Linked DNA regions of Rhinolophus ferrumequinum. The protein of the gene in region 2 interacts with the protein of the main gene of each other region in a pairwise test. Links are inferred from orthologs where the notes say so. Each region holds a gene or a part of one and is shown on either strand. Other genes may lie near its edges. The genes, in order: CEP57 and GCC1.

Region 1 (11,533 bases), on a different chromosome or scaffold from region 2:
CACCTTCTTGTACTTGTGACTCCTTTACACTCTTAAAAATTACTGAAGACCCCAAAGAGCTTTTGCTTATGTGGTTATATCTATTGATATTTATCATATTAAAAATTAAACTAAGAAAATTTAAAGATATTTACTAATTTAAAAATAATAAACCCAAGATGTTAATATTTGAGTGAAAAATAACTGTCATCCAAAAAACACTGAGTGAAAAGAATGGCATTATTTTACATTCCTGCAAATCTCTTTAATTCTTGACTTAAAAGGGTGTTGGATTCTTATATTTGCTTCTGCATTCACTGTTAGACATACTGTTTTTGTTGATGTATGTGAAGAAAATCTGGTCTCTCACAAAGTGGTTGGGTTAAGGAAGGACATTACAGACCGTCCTGAGAAGGACTCAGGGAACCCCAAAGGTCTTCAAAACACTCTTTGAGAACTGCTGCTCTAGAAAAATTTTTGCAAGTATGCAACTTACAGGGATGATCACAACAAGACTGTTTAAAATAGCTGGCAAACAAACTAATGAACAACAAATCCTAAAAACCCAAAGCCCATCAAGATGCCATACTGTACAGTGTGAACAAAGAGGGACTACATAACAAACCTGACAAGCTACTGGTGGCCACATGGCAGGCCTGACAAGCTCAGTGACCAAAAGTAACCACACAGGATGGTCTAATCATAAACTCCTAACAGGGCAGGCTTTGGCCGACAATCACATCGCAGGACTACAGCTTCCTTAGCAAAGGTCAATCATTATCTTAAGTGAATTCTGTCCACTGTTCTTATGCATCTAGGATAATACACCTTTGAAATGTCAGAGTAATTTTTTTCCTCGACCCCTCAAGGCACAGGAAGAGGCACCACAGCACAAGACGACCAGATCATAAGACCACAGAACCCCGCATTACCTTGTTCCCAGCAAACCATCTCTATGTACTGTAAATGTTAATTTTTATCCTGTATCTACCAATGTAAAAGTATATTTCTCTATTTTGTTTTTTATTCAATCCTAGAGATTTCCCTGCTTTGCTGCCTCCCACCTCCTTAATCTACAACCAATGGATTTCATGTAACCGTCCTTACATCTCCTTTGATTCTAGTGTACGGGATAAGCTGCAAAACTGCCATTCTCTGGAGCACGATCTCAATCCATTGAGATTTTGCTTCCAGACATGTCCTCAAAATTTTGGCTCAAATAAACTCTTATAAAACTTTTCTATAGGCTGGACATTCATTCATGGGTAACAGAAATATAAAAGTAACTTTGGGGCCGACCCGATGGCTCAGGCAGTTGGAGCTCCATGTTCCTAACTCCGAAGGCTGCCGGTTCGATTCCCACATGGGCCAGTAGGCTCTCAACCACAAGGTTGTCAGTTCAATTCCTCGAGTCCCGCAAGGGATGGTGGGCAGCACCCCCTGCAACTAAGATTGAACACGGCACCTTGAGCTGAGCTGTCGCTGAACACCCGGATGGATCAGTTGGTTGGAGCACATCCTCTCAACCACAAGGTTGCCGGTTCGATCCCTCGAGTCCCAGAAGGGATGGTGGGCTGTGCCCCCTGAAACTAGCAACTGGCAACTGGACCTGGAGCTGAACTGCGCCCTCCACAACTAAGACTGAAAGGACAACAACTTGAAGCTGAACGGCACCCTCCACAACTAAGATTGAAAGGACAACAACTTGACTTGGGGGAAAAAAAAGTCCTGGAAGTACACTGTTCCCCAAAAAAGTCCTGTTCCCTTTCCCCAATAAAAAATCTTAAAAAAAAAAAAAAAAAAAAGCAGCTTTGACTTAACCTTTCTGTGCCTCATTTTGCTCATTCAAATATGGAAATGCTAATGCCAACCTCATAAAATTATTGAGGATTAAATGAGTCAATATATGATAAGTATTTAAAATGACTGCCAGGTAGTACTAATAAGTATTAATATTATGCATTATTATAATCTCAAAATGTATGGTGGTGTGTGTGAAAGCAAGGTGCAAACAGGGGCATGAAAGTAAGTCATTGTATTATTAAAAATAAATTTTTATATGTTCAATGGTTTAATGTTATAAACTCTATGAAATATTCATAAAACATTTTAAAGAGAAATAAAGAACAGGTTGATTAAAGGGCTTGGCTAAAAAGCCAGGGAGACCAATTAGAAGATTAGCTTATTAAGTCCAAAGAGTCCCAGGTGTTGATCATGGTTACTAGGAAAATAAAAAAGGACTGACAGAAAAGACATTCTTCTGTTTGCTAGACTATGCTGCCTGTACTTCTGTTTAATATCTTTATGCCCAATCTTTGTTTTCCTGCTACTCTCCACTAATCAGTTGCTACATACCGATCACTCAACAAATGTCACTGTTACCCACTGTTGCTACTCTTGCAGTGAAAGACTACTTAAAAGCACAATTCAAATGTATCGCCTATTTCCATGTTGTTCATAATTGACGTTTATATGGTAGCTGCTCTCTGAAGTCTGTTACTTTGAATCTACCTGTTAAAAAATCCTTGCCTGGTAAAAGTATCTCTATTTACTATAGCTAGCTCCATGCTGGACTTATTAAAGTTGAGTAAGTATGAAATGTTAATGTTCACAACCTTAAAATCTGAATATGAATACCCTTCTGAGTTCATGTTGTAGTTTTAAAAGCTCTTTGTGTTATATTTTATGGTCATCTGTTTATTAAGCCAAAGTGCTTTGTAAATTCTGTTGGAAATGCCAGCCTTGTTTCTCACAAGACAGTGTCTAAGCAGGGCTATTTCTTATACACTGATAAACTAAATTTAGTCATTTTTGTTTTGAGACATAGTGACTTACAAATTAGATATTTTGATGTAGCAGGTCAAGTTAATTAAGAAGGTTAGTTATGCTTTCATTTGTAAAGGGTCCTAGATAATCTTAATGTATTCTTGACATTTAGAATCCACTTAAAGCTGAGTTTAATATATAAAAATATGTATGCTTTCCTATTACACCCATTGTAGGATTTCTGACCAGGTTACCTTAAAGACTGCGTAAGGACTGACCACATCTCAGTACCACTGCTCAGCTCGATAGTCTCAGCAGAGTGCAGTACAATTCAACATTTACAGGCATACCTCATTTTCTTGTGCTTCACTTTATTGCACTTCATCGATGCTGCGTTATTTTTCGCAAACTGAAAGCAAGACCCTCCCCCAGCAAAAAGGTTACTACTTGCTTCATTGCCATGGTCTGGAACCAAACCAGCAATATCTCTGACGTATGCCTGTATAAGAGAATTCCTTGATCAGTCTCCCAGTGCTACATTTTGAGGGCAGTGAAAAGCCCTCTTCTCCCAATTAAGTTGAATTAATCAAGACTTATATAATCTCATCTACTTATGACACTTGCTCCTAACAGTCTAATGGTTCCTCTTTTATCTACTTTTACCAGTCTATTTCCTGATTGAACTCCATGTGCTTCATACTTTCTCAACCTTTCCTGACTTCTCTGCAAACGTGTTACCCCCTTTCTGCTGAAACCCTGAAGGTTATTTCTAGCCTATTATCACAAATCCTCATAATAGCCACCAAAAACTGAAACTGAAGAAAAGTGTATCTTTATCAAGGTGACTCTGCTCTCTCTTAATGTTCCCTAAACTGCCCCATTAGCTTCTATGATATAACTTACCCTGATAGCCTCCTGCTTCTTCTTTCACTATCCTTTTCTCCCATCTTTTACCTACTTTTACAATTCATCTAATACAACCCCACTCCCATACTACCTCTACTCCTCCCAAATTTTTTCAAGTTTACCTACTGTCTTGGCACATACGCCATATGCCTGCGGTGTTCTTTCCTTTTCTGTTCTTGTAACAAGCATTTACAATTCCTTCACCATCCAGCTAGCTCCATCTTCCCTTCTAGGAAACCGTCCCTAGCATACCCAAGCACTGCTAATCACTCTCGCCTAGGTTATTCCAGTATGGTAGCATTTATCAACCTGTACTGTGTAAAAATATAATTGCGTGTAGTTTCCCGTCAATGCGTTGCCCTTTCAAGCAGGGACTCCATCCTATTCATCTGTGTAATCTTGGAGCCTTAAAAGCATGCCAGGCACTTAACATTTACTAATCAAGAGATAAGGGCTCCAAAGTCGGGCTTCCTCACATTTACTGCCAATCTACAGTATTCCCAGTGCTGCGGTAACCAAAACGCTAAGTGTTCGACATTCCAATTCGACAAATATTAGTGACTTACCTGGTTAGTGACCCTTTTTGGAGGCAAAACCAATTAAGATCTGCTGCCCCCTGCTTCCCTAAAAGGGTATTTACATGTTGCAGTCCTAACTAAGGTGGGAGGTGGGAAGCAAGCGCTCTGGGTAGAGTAAGCACAGAACAACGTTAATGGCAGGGTGGGAGGAGGCACAATAATCAGCTTAAGCAGGACTAATATGCACTGGAGACTGCAAACTATTCAACAGCTGCCAACGAAGCCGACCAGCGCTCCAACCTGGTCTCGGCGAGATTCCAAGAAGGGCCGTTACACCCACGTGACCAAAGGAGCAATGTTTTCGCTACTCAGGGTGTGGGTACAGTCATCCCAGCGGGTCCTGGCAATGTTCGGTAACAGGGGCTGCTAGGCCGAAAGGTGCAAGGGATATGTGAGTGAAAGATGGGCCAGGCCTGTTTCAACAGAAGGCTGCAACCTCCACAGAGGAGCAGTGGACGCCAGGGCAGCACGGGGCGCTCTAGGCGCCCCCCGCCGTTTCCCAGGATGGGATGAGACGCTGCGCTGAGAGCGCTCTGAAGGGTGAGAAAACGCAGAGAGGCGCCAGGACCCACCTGGGCCTATTCGAATGTCAACCGCTTCTTACCAAGAACTGAGAACCTGAAGTCGCAGACACCGACGCTGCCGCCATCTTCCTTCTTGCCCAGCACACCTCCGCAGCCCCGGGCGGTCTGGGTTCTCGTGCTCTTCTTCCAGATTCGACAGCCGCCCACCAGGGGCGACCCTTAGCCGAGCCCCTGATGGAAGGGGCTGCGATGCTGGTGCAAGGTCTAGAAACCCCCGCCACACTCCCACGCAGGGACGCCCTGCCTCCCGCCCCGCTCAGAGCGTACACGGACAGGGCGACACGTCCTAATGGACGTTCTGAATAGCCAATCAAGAAAGCGGACGTCTTCCGGTAGTAGGAGCGAATCCGTCTTGTCCCTCGGTGACGTCACAAGGTAGCGCGTAGCCGCGATCGCGGAGGCTGGTAACGCTGGGGGCTACTAGACAGCTTAGAGGACACTCTACGGAGGGGCGGGTGTTCTGCGGGCGGAAACGTGGGCGAGGGGTTGTTTTGGTCTCTAGGGGTAATTGAATCGAATGGTTGACGTAGAATTAAAGCGAATGCGAAATTCAAACACTCCCTGGATCAGTTCCCTGGGACCAAACGCCAAAGAGAGCGTGAGCTTGACTCGGGGACGCCTCTCCAGGTGAAGTACCTACCTTTTGATCTGTAGCAGGTAGAATGGGGGAGGAAGGGGGGCTGAATGATTTGGTCCAATACAAATCAAGTGAAAAAGCAGTTGAGGCAGAGAGTAAGTCTTCGCGAACACTTAACCCAATTGGATTGGGAAACGCTCACGCAGACCTGACACCGGCTACTAGAAATAGCCGTGACCCAGACCTTTGGGCGGGGCGAGTTTAAAGCGGCTTTCGCGCGCTGAGAGCGGCGGGCTGTTATTGGCCGGCGACTTCCTCCCTTTGTGGGAGCTCCCTGCGTCGCCGGGGTTAGGGGTTGGGAGGAGCGTCCGAGTGACGCGTAACCTCCCCAGCTAATCAGGAATGGGGGAGGCCGAGAAGGAAGCGGATCCGCTGCCGCGCAGCTGAACTGCAGCGAACTACCCGCTTCGTCTCCCTCCGCCGCTATCGGGGCCTAAGCGGGAGCGGCTGGGACGGCGTCACTGGGTGGGCTGGGGCGGAAGTGGAGGCGGAGGGAGACGGCGGCGTCCACAGGGCCTTGGGCTCTCGCGGCAAGGCCCTGGTGGGCGCGCGGCAGGGGGAGGGGGAGGAGGAGGAGCCCGCGGCCCGGGCGGCGGCGGCGGCGGCGGCGGCGGCGCCCGAGTTCTCCGTAGGGCCCCGCCTCGGAGCGGGCGGCGGTGGAGGAGGAGACTGAGGAGCAGGATGGCGGCCTCGGCCCTGTACGCCTGCACCAAATGTACCCAGCGCTATCCCTTCGAGGAGCTCTCCCAGGGACAGCAGCTCTGCAAGGTCCGTGGGCGCTGGGCGGCGGGCGGGCGGGGTTTCCTCGGCCATAGCCTGAGGGAGCTGGGTGCCCGCTGCACTGCAGTCTCGCTCTCTTTGCCGGCGCCGGGGGTTTGGAGCCCTCGCCCCCTCACCGGGGGATCCCTTTATTGGATGACCTGGGCATCAGCTGGGAAAGGCCCCTGAGAGAAGACAGAATCCTGCCCTCTTCCTGGAGGCCCAGGAGTGGGCCGGGCCCCAGCAACATTCGGGGGTCTCAGGGGTGGGGCTGAGTGAGGCAGCCACCTGTCTATGCCGCAGAGACCCTGGGGTGGAGATGTTTTCATCTGGGTTTTTTGCCTGGTCTGTCCTCTCCTTCCACCGGGAGGCAGGGGACGGTTTTTGCACTTTCTTGCTAGGAACCTGAAGCAGCAAAGCTGATGGCATCCTTCTTTCCTGCCCAGGAAAGCGAAGCGACTGGCTTGGGAACAGAATGCTCTATGATTTGGAGCTCCTCCCATCCCATTAAAGCCGGGATGCTGTCTGGGAGCAACGGTGCAAAATAATAAGTAGTTTCACATTTAACCAATCCTTGAAATCGGCCTTGACAGCTTTCTTAATTTATCTGTAGCATATCCTCCCCCATGTAATAAAGACAAAGACACCTATGCCTCCTCTACGGAATTACGCTGTAATTGGCCACTTATATGATAAATCACCCAATTGTTTACGTTGGGGGGGCAGATTTTATTAATGTTTTAGACATTTGACTAGGTTAGGTAACAATTTTCTACCAGAAAAGTGAAATTTGGGACTTTGAGATAGATACTGACTAATTCATTGTCTTATTACAGGAATGTCGGATTGCGCATCCTATTGTAAAATGTACTTACTGCAGATCTGAATTTCAACAAGAGAGGTTTGTATACTGAACAGTTTTTGATTGTTAAAGACAAAGTATTATCTGTAGGGAATACTTGGGGGTTGTAACTCCATACTTGTATTAAAGTGTGTGTTTTTTAATGGTTTAGCGTCTTAAATTTTATGGTGTAAACCTTTTAGACATAGGAGAGAGAAAGTTGACAAAGAAATTAATGGTTGTTTTCGACCTAGGCTTCAGTTTGCACATGAGAAAAGAAGAAATTATTGTGTGGAAAGTGTATAGCCTTGCTAATGAAAAATTCAGACATTTCAGACATAAGTAGGTACTATTAAGCACATTAAAGTAAAAAAAAAAAAAAAAGGCACATTAATGCTGACATAGACCTGAGGAAAGGTTACTCGTAACTTGTTACCAGTGGAAGAACAGCACATACTTTTTTTTAATAGGATGATTCCTGTTAGAGAATTAGAGCACATACGTGAGAGTAGCCTAAGAGAAAAACAATTTCTTCATAAGTTGGTGTAGGCACCATAGCAGTACTATGATGTCTACTGGAGAAGGCTCAGTGCAAGGTTAGGTAAGCACTGATACGTAATGCTGTGCGTAAGTAGTGGCAAGTGTGAAGGTTTTGGAACAAGATAGAAAACATTAGGATTCTTTTGTTTACCAAAAAATATACAACAAAAATGTATAGAAACATTTATCTTAATGGAAGAGGAATAAATTTGAATAACATAACAACCCTAAAAGGATCCTATGTTTGTAGTTTTAAAAAATCTTTGGTTTATATTAGAGTAAGTTTTAAATACTACTAAAGCAAATAGTACTCTGCTTTAGTTGAGCGTTTTTCTGATTACTTGAGAAAGCCACATAAATTTGATCACCTATATATCATTTCCTTTTCAGCAAAACTAATACAATTTGTAAGAAGTGTGCTCAAAATGTGAAGCAGTTTGGCACTGTAAGTATGTCATATGTTTTCATGTATTGTTATTGGTCAATTAATAATTTTCACAAAGATGAACCTTTAAAAAATATGTATAGCTGTGTTCTTAAATACTTCAACATATCAAAATATTTCAGGAAAGAAATTTTCTGTAGATAGTCTGATGAGAAGATGACAACATTTAAAAACAGTCATGAGCCTGTTTTATACATATTGAAAGTGTAAAATTTGTGATTTTATTCTGTAAAGATTCAAATATAGCAAACTACTGGTTATGGAGAAGCACCTTACCCATAAAATTTGCATAATCATACTTTTCTCCCTTCAGAAACTCCAATAATTTTTATATAGCAGCACAATTCAGGCATTTATTCACAAAAGTCATGACATTATTCTAGTATAAATTCTTTTCTTACATATGTATTATAGTCATTACTGGTGTATTACAGTCATGTTTAGTCAAAGTACTGGCCTTAAGGCTCTAGGAAATCCTGAATTGTCTTTTGAATGTCAAAGAAAATCAAGGTATGTTTATTATAGTTTATGTTGAATGTGCTTATGCCAATTTTTTAAAGTTGAAAATTCACCTAAAGTATATATTCCTTGTATCATCTGTACCTGTATGTGATAAAAGTTGTTAAACGTTTTTTGAATAAATGATGTTAACTAAGTAGGATGTCATGTTAGTAGAGGTTTGTTCCCCCAAATAACTGCATATGTGAAAATTTCCTATCAATGCATACCTTTATTTTTATTTTTTAAGACCCTTTTCACATGTAGCTTTTTCATTATATAACATACTACGTGAATCATAAATGTTACTCATGACCTTTTTTAACTATTCAATACAGAAACAAAAAGTTTCACGACTAGGATAAATTTTACTAAGCGAATAGAAACACGATAAATTTTATCGATTATGGCAACATACAGCAGGTCCTCAAATGTTTCTTGTTATGACACTGATGCGATGTCGTACGATGAGATGTCATAGGAGCTTACCTCTTGTTACCCTACAGTAAAATTGGTTTCATTACGTGTTGTTTTGTTTAGTCGCAGAACCTGTTGAGGACCTTAAGTGAGGACTTACTGATTTGATTTGACACAAATTTTGTTACCTGTTCATTTCCTTAATTAACCCAGAAGTCTACTTTGTATAGCAGATTTTTAATATTTTCAAATGTCTCTGTTAAAGAAAACATGTGTTTGTTTTTCAGCCTAAGCCTTGTCAATACTGTAACATAATTGCAGCGTTTATTGGTACAAAGTGTCAGCGATGTACAAATTCAGAAAAAAAATATGGACCACCTCAGACTTGTGAACAGTGCAAGCAACAATGCGCTTTTGATAGGAAGGAGGAAGGGAGAAGGAAGGTATGCTTTATTTATGTTATGGCATATTCTGGAAATGAAATAAAACAGCAAACAAATTGGAAGTTACCGTAATTAATATACTATTGAGACTTGATGTATTCTTTGGGTCCCTGAAAGCTGGTAGTTAGATGAAAGTGCAGGAACAGTGCATTTTCTCCTTGTTTGCATCATACATAGATTCATGTTGATCATTTGAGATCACTGTATTTTAAAAAACATTCTGTGATGGCTATTCTGTACTACTTGGTTATCCAACAGTTGGTTTGGGAGAATTGCTAACTTTTAAATGCTTGCAGCTACTTACCCTTTTGCTGGTTACTTGAGGTTGGTGATGTGAAAAAATTATAGCTCATTAACATGATTCAAAGTTACTCTTGTGCCTTTTGATTTGGGGCTCATATTTTAAACCATTGTTTGTTTTCCTCTACCTGCAATGACTTAAAAAGAATGTGTATGCGTGTGGTATTCCTCTGCTGATCAGCATTCACCTCCTGTTGTCTCTCAGTTTCAGTTGATTTGCAGGATGACTCTCTTTGAGGGGCTCCCCTAGATCCCCCCACAGCAACATATGTATCCTAGTTGTAAGAAATGTCCCCCCGGCACTTGTATGAACAATTAGAAGATAGAAATTAGTGAAGAAGTTTCATTTTCTATCCCCGTGACATGTACAATTGAGTCTCGTCGTTTGTAGTAGTTATGTTCTGTAAAGTTGCTGCAAATACTGAATTAGTGAATACTTCCTAAGGGCAATACAGGATTAGGTTCGTGCCACTTGGTCACAACAGGGTGATTAATACATCTTGTTTTGTGTGTGTTTCTGTTTAAAGACACCTTACTTAATATATATCGTTGATAGATTAACAGTTGTAATGCAAACAGCAGTATAACTATGCCTGAAGGAAGCTTATCTATCACATATTTTCTACATAAAGTACATCACAGCCTTCTTGTGCTTTGGAACACTATATACATCACTTCGATCCACCTGGAGACCATTTTAAACAGTGAAATCACTGATAAGCACAAAAATGCAAAAAACATGGCACTAAATAGATGACGAGGATTTGTTTAAGGTATGAGAGATAAAGGAAGAGGGCAGCAGAGCATCACCTTGTTTGACCTGAGCGGGGAGGGTTTGCCATTTGGCTACACAAATTTTTTGCTGCTCTGTACATATGCATGAATGATCACGAAAGCACTGCAAGTTGATTTGGGGGTTACAGATAAATTTTAGCAAGTAGGTGATGAATTTAGAAATGAGAAATCTGCAAATAATGAGAATTGACTGTAGATGTCATCCGAGCTCTCCTTTTTTCTATAAAGTAACTGTTTTTACTGTAGTGGAAAATACTCCGTCATTTTAATAATTACACAGTGATTTAAGAATTCAGTCTAGTGATTCCATAGATTTCTTTGAACTATATCAATTTATGCTTATTCTCCAAATAATAAAACAAGTTTCTCCAAATTAAAAAATGCCTCAAAACTAATGGAAGTCCACATACCATCCTCATCAATTTTATGATCCTCCAAACAAGCATTTTCCCAAGTTTCAGAAAAGTCTAGTTTTACTTCAACTTTTCAACTGTGTATGTGTTTGAGATAGAGAAATATAGCTAGAAGCACTTCTCTTACCTGGTTTCACCTATGGCCAGTTTACAGGTACATTTAATCTAATACAAATATTTTCTTTTAAAAGGTTGATGGAAAGTTACTATGCTGGCTCTGTACTTTGTCATATAAGAGAGTTTTACAGAAGACAAAAGAACAAAGGAAGAGCCTCGGATCTTCACATTCAAATTCATCTTCTTCATCTCTTACTGAGAAAGACCAGCATCATTCAAAACATCACCACCACCACCATCACCATCACCATCGTCACAGCAGTAGTCATCACAAGTAAGTACTCTGAAATCATGTTTTCTAAAATCCTCCCAGGCATTTTAATGCCATATATTGGGGTTTAACTGTTTCGTAAATCCTAGCGAGTGCTAGTCTAATTTCCATTGTACATGATCAGCTTCGAGGGTGTCGAGGGCTTTTCCCCACTTTATTCAGTGTATACAATTACACACATGGAGTGCATTTAGCTGTATACCATAATAATAAAGATAGGACATTTAGGGAATTATAATATAAA
Region 2 (10,964 bases):
TAACAGGAAAAAAATGTATTTGTTCAGTGAGTGGCAAAGCATTGGTCTTTAAGATCCAAAGACCAGCAAGAGCAGATGGGGGCAAGGAACGCACAGATACTGTTTGAACCTGACTTAGAAGTCTGTGTCCTCCTTTCCGTAAGGGCAGAATGAATCTACTTACGCAACACCAAATGGAAGAAACTCTGTGGGAGGAGGAAAAGTTATAGGAACACGAGTGGGGAAGATGAGGACTGTGGGCTGAAACTCAATTACCTCCTCAAGGGAGTGGGCAATATACTCTGGTAACTGTAATCCATGAATACCCTGGCTGCAGGGACGTGGACATTTAGCCAGAATGCTGTCCACGGAGCAGCAAGCACCCTGGCCCAGCCTTGGCTGAACTTCCGCCACTTTTCCTATGAGGCTCACTCACAGCAATCTTCTGGAATCCTCTGCAGTAGGTCTTCCTCCTCTGCCCTGTATATCTCTGCACTAATTCCTTGCATCCAGGCAGGACCACAGCTTCCTGACCAGACTCCGCTCTGTAAGAAGCTAGAATTTTTTTTGCAATGGAAGTTCCACACTGAAGATAGCAAAGTCATTCCCGCACAATCTCAGGCCAACCTCAGGCGGGCAGGTTAAGGCAGGGACAAGCAGGAAGGGTCTATGGTAACTCTATCCAGACGAAAAGCAGGTCACTCAGGAAATCCCTAAGATCGAACTGGTGCTCAGGGCTCTCTCTACAATGGTCACAAGTGGAGCATTTTGTCCAGACTGGTTAAGTCGTGCCCAGCCCTAACTAAACCAAGCTTCCCAGCTCCAGGATGAACTCCCTATTCCTTGGCCCTTTGGACTAGTGGGCAAGCTGTCACTATTTCAAACTTCCTGGTCCCTCTTCAGCCTGGATGTGTATCCCCAGAGAATTGGGGCAGCAGTGGACCAGACTCAGATTGTGCTGATGGAGAAAACAGCTGGTCCTTGTGTGTGTTTAGAAATTAACTGAACTCCCTTTGGAGTCACATTTACTCCTAGCTCTGCACTAGGAGCATAATATTAAAACAGAGAAGTCTTATTTTTAAAGATTTTCACCACTTCCCCAACTTTTGCACCTCTCAATCCCAACCTCTTCCTGCCTCTCCCCCTCACACACACACCACCAGAAGATGTTGTCCCAACTCTTCCAGTGTCTCTAGGGCCCAAGGGGTAAAGCGGAGTTAATGGCATTTGGCAGAAAATCCCACCCTACGTTGAAGACTCCTCCCAGTTCAACACAGTGAAGAAAGAAAAGATTAAGAGAAGGGGCAGTAGAAACCAGAACCTGTCCCTTCCCACAGAAGAGGCACAGAAATTTCCAGGCAGTGAAAACGGCATCATCTCTTGCCAGAAGGCCACCAGCTCCCACTGGGGGGGAGCCGCATGATCACTTGTTTCTCCTCGGGACTGAAATGCAAGATAGTCAGGATGGCTGTGAGTGTCTGCTGGCGGCCCAGGCTGTCGGGCAAGGTCAGGAAGCGGTAGATGATGTTTTTGAGGTACTCGAGGTTGGCTCCCTCCCGGCTCTGGTCCCTGAAGTTCTTTTCAATGTGGCTCTGCAGGACCCCGACCTCCTCACGATGCCGCTCGCCCTCCTCCAGCAGCCGCTCCTGCAGCTGACGGACCTCGACCTCCAGCCTGTGTTTCTGTTTCCTCAGCAACGTGATCTCCACCTCCTTGCGGGCCAACTGCTCAGCGTACAGGAAGAAAGTAGGCTCGTTGGCCGCAGCTAGTTGCAGGGCTTGGGTCAGGCTCTCCGAGGAAGTGACCTCGGCCGGGTCCCCAGGACCTCCGCCACCCACAGGGCTTCTGCGTCCCGGCAGCCCGGAGGACAAGGCCACGGAGCGCAGTTGCTCCAGCTCCAGGTCCTTCTCGGCCAGCACGGCCAGCGCCCGGTCGCGCTGCCTGTGCAGTTCCTCCTCCAGTTTCAGCGTGCGGTCCCTGAATTCCAGCTGGCTCCGCTCCAGCTCCTGCCGGTGGTGATGCTGTAGCCGGGCCAGCTCCTGCTTCCAGTCCTCGGCCTCCTGCTGGTGTTGGCGCTCAAGCTCCTCGCAGGACAGACGCAGGGAAATATACTTCTCCTTGAGCTCTGCAAGCTGTTCCTGGGCTTCCTCCAGCTCCTTGGCCAGGTTGCCGTCTTTGCTGTTCTTGCTCTTGAGGACGACCTGGGCCCTCACCTTGTACCTCTCAAACTCTTCCTTCAGCTGTTTCAGCTCCTGTTGGTAGTAGAGCACGGTAGCCTTCTCCCCGTCAGCGGCCTCAGAGCTGGGCATTATCTCCAGGTCGCAGAGCTTCTCCACATCCAAGGTCACCTGGCTTTTCCTGGTCGCCACCTGCAGTAGCCTCTTCAGCTTCTCCATCTTGTCCTTCAGGACATTGACGTCCAGACTGGACTCCTCTCCATGGCTGTCTAGAGGGGACCGGCTGGAGGCTGCGAGAGCCAGCGTCTTGTTCTCCAGGTCCAGCTGCATGATGCGCTCCTTCAGCTTCTGGATGGCCAGCTGGTCCTTCTGCTTGGCTTTCTCATATGTGCCCAGCAGTTCCGACACCTCAGATATTTGGTTCTCCAGGGCTGCCACCCTCTGCTCTTCCAGCTGAGATTGCTGACGTCGTTGATCCTCTGCGAGGGCTGCCTGTAAAACAAGGAAACAGATGGAAATGCATCCAGAAACGCCACAAAGCGCTATGGCAAACTTTGAGAGCACCAGAGAGGACAGCCAAAGAGTCACAGAATGGGGATGGCCTGGCAAGAACGGGAACTGGGGATTTTTTGGTTGATCTGGGAGCTAACAAAAGTTCCTGTAACTTGCTTGCGTTCTGCTCACAGACACATGTTATACCAAACAATTAAGAACCTCTGCATACCTGCTCCTATTCTGGTTTCGTACTTCCATTGTCTCCTATCATACACCAAACTCACGTATAAAGAGTGCTTTCTTCATTTATCATGTGTTTCCCCAAATCTTATTATGGAATCATCTCTTCCAATATTCCTGGAAGATCAAAACTGAGTTGGACCTCTCTCCACACTGAATGGAGGCACTATAAAAATAGAATACCTTTCCAGAGTTGGCAAAATCTTGGCTGAAAGCCGTTACAAAAGGTCATTTCCTCTGAGAAAACTCCCTTTTCCCCCTTCAGCCATCCTTCCTATAGGCATATACCACTACCTACACATAGGCATACAGCTCCAGTCAGACACACGACCTTTTCACTGCATGTCTGCCACAGTACTGCTTCGCAGAGCACAGCGGGTAAGATGCCAATGCTAGATCTGTCTGGCTCCAACCCAGCCTACACTTAGAAACTCTACATCCTGTTGGAAACATGCTCTGTGGATACTGTCAACACCACATAGAACAGAATTTCCAACTCACCAATAAAACATTTTGCATCAAAAATTGACAGTGCAGCCACTGAGATCTATCAAAGGCGGAAAAACAAATATTTCCCATTTCAGGTTTAAATGACTTTTTGAAGGAGATGGAGATAATTACCTTCCTCATTTCCTGCTGCAACTGAGCCTGGAAATGGCTCTTAAGGCAGGCAGCTTCTTCCTGCAGCTGCTGCAGCCGGGGGTCTGGCTGATTCTTCTCATCCTGGAGAGCCTGCAGCTGACCTTTGAGCTCCTCCACCTCACGGGTCAGCTGTCGGGTCTGCAGTTCAAACCCTTCCATCTGACCAGCTGCGTATGCCCGCCCTGCCAGGGCTTCTCGGGTCTCTTCCAACCGAAGCTCCAAGTCTTGGCGCTGGGTCCTCTCCTCCTGCAGCAGTTTCTGAAGCTCACGCAGCATCAAGGCATGGTCACTCTGCTCCTGGGCCCGATCGTGCTGCTGTGTGATAAGTCGGGCTTTGGTTTCCGCTATCTGCTCCTGCAGCCCCTTCAATTCTCCCTCCAGACGGCCCCTCTCTTCCTCTGCCTTTTTACTGGCATCCTCTAAGTCCTGTTTCATCTTCTTCTTGTCAGCCAGGTAAGAAGCTTCCATGCGGGACTTCTCCTGGGTGACTGTAGCCAAAGCGCTGGTCAAAGTAGCCAACTGAGTCTTCAGCTGGTGCAATCGTTTGTCCACCTCCCCACCTGCAGACGGTCCATCCCCACTGCTACTGCTAACACCACTCTCCGACCCGCTGGCCTCTTCCGACTTTGGAGGTGGTGGTCCACGGGCCAGTCGGTCATCTTCTACCCCAAACTCACCCTTGGTGCTAGTGAGACTGGCGACAGTATCCAAGCTAGTGGCGGTCCCAGTGCTATCCTCGCTGTGAGTGGAGCATCGGTCATCCACGTTGTCAGGACAGGTGAGGCCTGGAGGCGGGCCATCTGCCAGGCCCACATCCGCCTCTTGGGATACTGACAGCACCTTGATGCTGGCCTCTAGCGCCTCTTTCTCTTTCAGTAAGCTTTTATAGGCGCGAACCACATCCTTGAGACGTGCCTGGTACTGGAAGAGCTGCTTCTTCTGCGTCTCAATGGTCTCCAGCAGGTCCTTTTTGCTGGGGCCACCCCCGAAATTCATTCCAAACTTCTCCATGAGGATTCAGAACGGGTGGTTCCACGTCAGCGTTGGGGCAGCCCGGGAGACGGTCGCGGGGACGCTGGCGGGCGTTGTGGTCCCCGCGGCCGCACACCCGCTCCTCCCAGTTGTCCGAGACCGACGCGGGGAGGCGGGGCAGCGGGCAGAAGCGCCACCGGGTCCGGGGTACGGAAGGCGGGGGCGGTTCCCACCTAGAGGCGGGGTGACGCGGGCAAGAGGGGAGCACACAGCCAGGGCGCCCCCGCCCTGTCCCAGAAGCTGCCCCGCGCTCCCGCCCGCGCCGGCCACAGCAGCCCCTGCGGGACCTCGGCCCACTGTCCGCCAGGGGTTTAAGCGGAGCGCAGCCCCTTCGCGACTTCCGAACTACAGCGGCCCGACAAGGGCGCTTCCGGGTCCGCTGGAAGTGACGACAGCAAGACGCCGCAGGCTCCGCCCCAGTGGCCAGAGGAGCGCGGGGCCACCCCAGCCGGGGAGTGCTCGGCCGCGGCCTGTGGGGAACCTGGCGAGGCTTTCTCTCCCCGGGAAGAGCAGCACAAGCCAAGCTAAGGACGCGAGTGATGTTGATTTCGTGAGGTTCACCCGAGCTTGCCTTCAGGCTACGATCAGCGAGGGACAGGGGGCGACGTCGCACTGAGTCCTTACTGAACAGCTCGCGACGTGTCTCCACTATTTGGGAGCTCAGTACCTTTGTCCCTAAAGAGCAACAATTAAGACTCTCATTCAAACCACGAACACTGCAACCCTTGCTAGTACAGTGTTTGGCACCTGGAAGGCGTATAGTATAATAATTATTAGCACCCTTCCTGAGTTCTGCTGAGTTAATGCAACAAATGTTTGTAAAGGGCATCCGTATGGCCAGGACGTCGGTCTTTAGTGCCAACTATATTCCAGGAGCTTTGCAAGAGTTTTGGTATGTAGTCATTACAATAATTCTGCTCAGTGGGTATTGTCAGCACTGTTTTACAGATATGGAAACATGAAGCACAGAGACGTAAGTAACATGCCCAAGGTCGCACAGCTAAGTTTAGGGATGCTATCCAGATCAATCCAACTCTCAACATACCAAATGCTGTGCCAGGTGATCACTATGATGAGACAAGGTCCTGCCCTCACGGAGTTCCCATCTAGTGAAGAACCAGGCATGCAAACACAAGTCCTGCCATCGTACCGGTATGCATAAGTATATTCAAAGTGATGTGGAGGAAGTCCTGTCTAGGGGAGGCAGAGAAGGCTCTCAGAGAAAATACTTTGGGATGTGAAGGATGAGTAGTGACTACCCATCTAACTAGAGATCAGGGAAACAAGCATTCCAGGCAGAGGGAAAAGATTACGAGGACTCCTGTGGCATCAGGGAGGCTGGCTCACCTGGAAAGCATTGAGAAGCATCTCGAGGCAGTAGTTTAGGGTATGTGAAGGAGGTGGCAACAGACGGGGCTGGCCTAGGAGGTAGGGATCCAAATTAAGGCATTAGATTTTATCTTTGGTGATAAGAAGACACTAAAGGATTTTAATCACAAGAGTGGTGTCATCAAGACTTGTATGCCAGGGTGGCAATAGCAAGGGGCAGGAGAACTGTGAGGAGACTGTTGCAGTCATGGAGAAGAGATGGTACTGAAATATGGCGGTGACAACAGTGATAGAAAGAAAGAGGCTAATAAAAGAGCTGAAGATGTAGAACTGACCTGACTTGTTCATCGCTAGTTGTGTTATTATATTGGGACTCTTTTAAATGTATTCTTCGACCTTGTAAAAGTCATCCTAGGAATGCAAGTGTGATTGAAGAGTAAAGTCATGCACTCATACCTGATGCCCAAAGTCTGTTCTCTTTACAGACTTGCAGGTCTGGATGGGGCAGGCCCTGGAGCTCTGTTCAGACCCAGTTTCTTAGTGGCCCAGGAAACATCCAGCTGTTTTATACAAAACATTCAGATACAGTATCTCATCATTTTAATCTTTACCATAACCTCATGAGATAGGACAAATATCAGTCTCTTTTTATAGATAAGAAAATGACAGCTTGAGAGGATTGTTGAAGGCAAGCCTTCAAAAAAAGGCAGAACTGAGATTTGAACGGAGGCCTGGAACAATGGCATACAGTAGGCATTCAATATTTGTTGACTGAGTGAATGAAGGTTCTCTGCTTCCCAGCTCACCTCACCATGTCCAGTCCATAAGCAACTTGGCTCCAGAACAGGCAAAACACCTGTCCACGCTCCACTGAGCAACCTACCAGTCCAGTTCAACCTAACAAGCATTTGTTAAGCATAAGCCTGGCATGATCCAGTTTTTGCCATAGAAGATACTTAAATGAATTCCAATCTGGCTCTTTCCCCTCCAACGCTAAGATGAATGGGGAAATTACTGGAGAAGCTCTTCGGGCCTAAGGAGGCAACCACATCCTCACATCCTGGATAGGTGTGCATTAATAATGCAGGCTGCCAGGTCTGTGGCAAAGAGAGGAAGGACTTCAGAAAGGCTGTCTGGGTCCAGACTGAAAAGCTTTGCTTCCTTGCACACCCGGGCGAGTCTACGGTTCCTGAACCACCTACTGTGCTCCAAGCCCCTCCCTCACTGGGAGCTGCGGGGGCAAAAGGGAGGTCTTAAGACGACTGCACGGAGCTTACGCACCTCTAAGAGGGTGGTGCACACAGTCGAGGCTGCCAGTTAGAAAGAACTAAACCGGAGACCAGAGTGAGCTGGACGCAACAAACCAAAGCCCTGCGGCGGGCCACGGAACATGGGGGTGGGGGCCGCTGCGGAGCACTGAAGGCTTTCCTCCGCCCCCCTCTGACTGCCGGTTCAACAGCCACAGATGTGCCAGGCGTGCTAGAAACGGGGAGACCCTGGCCCTTTCCCTCTTTAAAACCGGCGCGGGACCCAGCCAGGCTGCGGAGATTCGCTCAGCTTCGGCTTCTCCCGGAGCCCGAGGCGCGGGGCGGGGCGGGGGGCGGAGCTAGGAGCGGAGCGCGATGGGGGCGGGCCCGCCGTGACGTAGGGCGGGCCGCGACGCGCGGAGGCGGTGGCGGCACCTCCCACTGCTGCTGCGCCCCATCCCCCCGCGGCCGGCCGGTTCCAGCCTGCACCCGGTGTCCGTGTCCGTGCCCCCTCCCCGGGCCCCGCCATGGGCCTCACCGTGTCCGCGCTCTTTTCGCGGATCTTCGGGAAGAAGCAGATGCGGATCCTTATGGGTGAGGCAGATCAAGCGCGCGGCCCGGACGGGAGCGCCGGCCCCCGCGCAGCCCTCCCGCCCCCGCGTCCCTCCAGGCCAGCTCACCCCGCTTTCTGACTCTGAGTCACCCACCTTCTAAACCCCTGGGGCCACTGCTCTCGGGCGGGTCACAGTCTGCAGCGCCGCTCCCGGGGCCTGAAACCGGGAGCTGCGGGCCTGGGTGGGGTGACGCTCCCTCCGCCCCAGCCCGGATGGTAAGAAGGGAGGATTCCGCCCTTGGAGGCCACTTTTAAAAGGAGCGCGGTCCTCCTCCTGTACCCCTTACACCCCCAGTCCTCGCCCGCTTCAGGGGCAGCAGTTGGCGCTCATCACCCGGACTGCCCTTAAGGCCCGGAAGGTAGATAACAGCGCGCACCTGGAAGCTCTCGGGCTCTCCGCCCCTGTCACCGTCAGCTGTCCTGGCCTCTCCCCTTCCCTGGTCTCTAGGGGGCTCCCTCGCTCCCATCTCCATCCCTATGCCCCTCTTCTTTGCAGTTGGCTTGGATGCAGCTGGCAAGACCACAATCCTGTACAAATTGAAGTTGGGGGAGATTGTCACCACCATCCCCACCATAGGTGAGTCAGAGGAGGTGAGATTGGGAGGAGCTGGAGCGTGGCGGCCAGCTCAGGGTCTCCTCCTCATTCTGCGTCTCCGTGCTGGGACCTGACACCAGATACAGCTACCTGAGAAGTGGGTCACATTATCTTTACCTGCTGGATGGTGTGAGGAGGGGTGGATGTGACCTAGCCCCGCCCTGCCAGTTGACTGCCAGTCTTCTGGACTTCTCTTCCCTTAGACCTTGATCATTGCCTTCTGATTTGTGTCCCTGCTGAATGCACTGTAGTTTAGTGAGTTCCTTCCAATCACGACTTTTTCCTCATATTTTTTTCCAATTATCTTCAGGCTTCAATGTGGAAACAGTGGAATACAAGAACATCTGTTTCACAGTCTGGGACGTGGGAGGCCAGGACAAGATTCGACCTCTGTGGCGGCACTACTTCCAGAACACTCAGGTGGGGGGCGAGGGTGTCTCCCCAACCCCAGGGGAGGAGGTGATAGCATTAGGAAAATTGTTGGCCTAGGCTGGGCCCCTGGGCCAGGAAAAAGCCTTACCCCTCCCTAACCCCCCTTTTGTAAGGTAAGCCTCTACTCATCCTTCAGAACTGGCCTTCGTCTTCTGAGACTCAGCCACCTTTGGCATCTTCTGAGAAGCAGGGTTCTGGGTCCAGGCTGAGTTAGCTCTCATCACATGTCTCCCTGTTCCCATGCATGTCTTCTATCTAGACTGCTTGTCTGAGGGCAGAAGCTGTATGTATCCTTTGCAGGGTGTCACCACTTTGTGCCAGGATGTCTGCAGAGCCTTAGTGGAAGTTTACTAGATGAGAAGGGTTTAGACACAATTAAAGAGAGAAAGCCAGACTCGGGTATGTCCCAGGTGGGAGTGATTGCTCCTCCTTCCTTCCTTCCCACCCAGGGCCTCATCTTCGTGGTGGACAGTAATGACCGAGAGCGGGTCCAGGAATCTGCTGATGAACTCCAGAAAATGGTGAGCACCCAGGGCCCTGGGAACTGAGCCCTTAGCTTGGAAACAGAGGTCGCTGTGCTGGTGTGAATGTCAGGAAATGCCTCATGGGCCTTGAATGTACAGTGCTCTTGGTGGACACAGGTACATGGAGAATCTCACCCTGTTTTGAGTTTGGGTCAGGTAAAAAGTATAGGATTGACTTTTTCCTTGAATTCTCATGTCTTCACATCTGAGTCTGAGAAGTTGGGGAGAGGGAAGTTATATGCGGTGGAGATAAACATCATCGTACCTTCTTGTTTTTCCATTGGGAAATTTTGTCATTTTGACTAGAACAAGTACTAGAACAAATTAGAAAAAGGTCCTTTCTGGACTTAACGCCAAAATGGTCTCCAGCTGACTTATAACTATGTCCTGTGTTCAGCGGGCGACTACACGATGTTATATTTTTCCCACAAATATGCTAGAAGGTGGGAAAAGGGGGCTCCCCTACACAGTGGGAAAGAGGGAGTCTGGAGACCCCAAAGGACCCCAGATTCTACTCCCTTGGCCTCTCTCAGCTGCAGGAGGACGAGCTGCGGGATGCGGTGCTGCTGGTGTTTGCCAACAAGCAGGACATGCCCAACGCCATGCCAGTGAGCGAGCTGACCGACAAGCTGGGCCTGCAGCACTTGCGAAGCCGTACGGTGAGGGTCTCGCCTCTCCCAAGGGAGCCACAGGCTGGGGCAGGAAGTAAAGGCACCCCCCTCCCTTTTTGTTCCCTGCTACTGACCTCTTTCTTTCTTTCGCCCCACAGTGGTACGTCCAGGCCACCTGTGCCACCCAAGGCACAGGCCTGTATGATGGGCTGGACTGGCTGTCCCATGAGCTGTCAAAGCGCTAAGCAAGCAGGGGCCAGCCCCTGCTGCCCGGAAGCTCCCGCGTGCATCCCCGGGATGCCCAGACTCCCGGACTCCTCAGGCAGTGCTCCTCCCTCCTGCTCCTCCTCCCACAGACACAGGTCTCTGCTCCTGCCCCTCCTGCCTGCATGTTCTCTCTGTCGCTGGAGCCTGGAGCCTTGCTCTCCGGGCACGGAGGGGTCTACTCTCCTGCCTGCTGGGACCTGTGGAAGGGACTTCCAGGGCCGGGGCCCCTTCTTCCAGAGGAGGAGCAGGGATCTGGGTTCACTTTTGTTTTTTCCATTTTGGGTGTACCCTTGGGCTAAGTGGGGAGGGAAAGTGAGGGCTCCAGGTGGTGCTATGATGTGGCACTGGATATTGAGTAATAAATTTGCTGTGGTTTGTACACGGTGTTGTCTGTAGCCTAGAAATGGGGCGCTGGGTTATTGGGTGCAAAGAGACAATATGGGGGAGGCTCAAAGCAGCCTGCAGGGCCAACCCCCCTCTCCCCAAGCATACACACACACATTGCTACCTTCGTCTAGCTTAGCTTCTCCCTCCTTATCCTTGAGGCTGCAAATATTTCAGGGGTTCCAGTGTAGGGAATCCCATTCCTTCCCCAATTTCAAGGGGCCTTTGCTGAGAGTAACCTTCCTTTGCATGAGGATCTACCTTCGTGCTTCTATAAACTACTTAACTCCCATTCGTATTCACCTCCTAAGTAGCCGTGGTCCTTAGTGATTACGATGCACATTAAAATTTGAGGGTGAGAGAATATTCATTAAAAAGAAGGTTCCTGAAGCACACT

What was found.
Region 1: the proteins of GCC1 (region 2) and CEP57 interact in binary tests that used the Homo sapiens proteins (3 or more experiments, as listed by UniProt). The two-hybrid records come from large-scale screens. The link is inferred for Rhinolophus ferrumequinum from reciprocal best matches to the Homo sapiens genes GCC1 and CEP57.

Annotation. Positions count from the first base shown.
Region 1 is NC_046294.1:66,444,533-66,456,065, reverse strand, and holds the start of CEP57 (centrosomal protein of 57 kDa), read right to left. Parts: upstream 5,084-11,533; 5' UTR 4,879-5,083; coding exon 4,834-4,878; exon of another isoform or gene 4,802-4,833; intron 1-4,801. Other genes in the region: protein FAM76B, read left to right, coding at 6,132-6,218, 7,046-7,110, 7,981-8,035, 9,238-9,393, 11,093-11,292. UniProt on the Homo sapiens protein: Centrosomal protein which may be required for microtubule attachment to centrosomes. May act by forming ring-like structures around microtubules. Mediates nuclear translocation and mitogenic activity of the internalized growth factor FGF2, but that of FGF1.
Region 2 is NC_046309.1:18,179,364-18,190,327, reverse strand, and holds the start of GCC1 (GRIP and coiled-coil domain-containing protein 1), read right to left. Parts: upstream 4,934-10,964; 5' UTR 4,545-4,933; coding exon 3,513-4,544; intron 2,649-3,512; coding exon 1,353-2,648; 3' UTR 1-1,352. Other genes in the region: ARF5 (ADP-ribosylation factor 5), read left to right, coding at 7,669-7,735, 8,251-8,331, 8,660-8,769, 9,231-9,302, 9,839-9,964, 10,075-10,161. UniProt on the Homo sapiens protein: Probably involved in maintaining Golgi structure.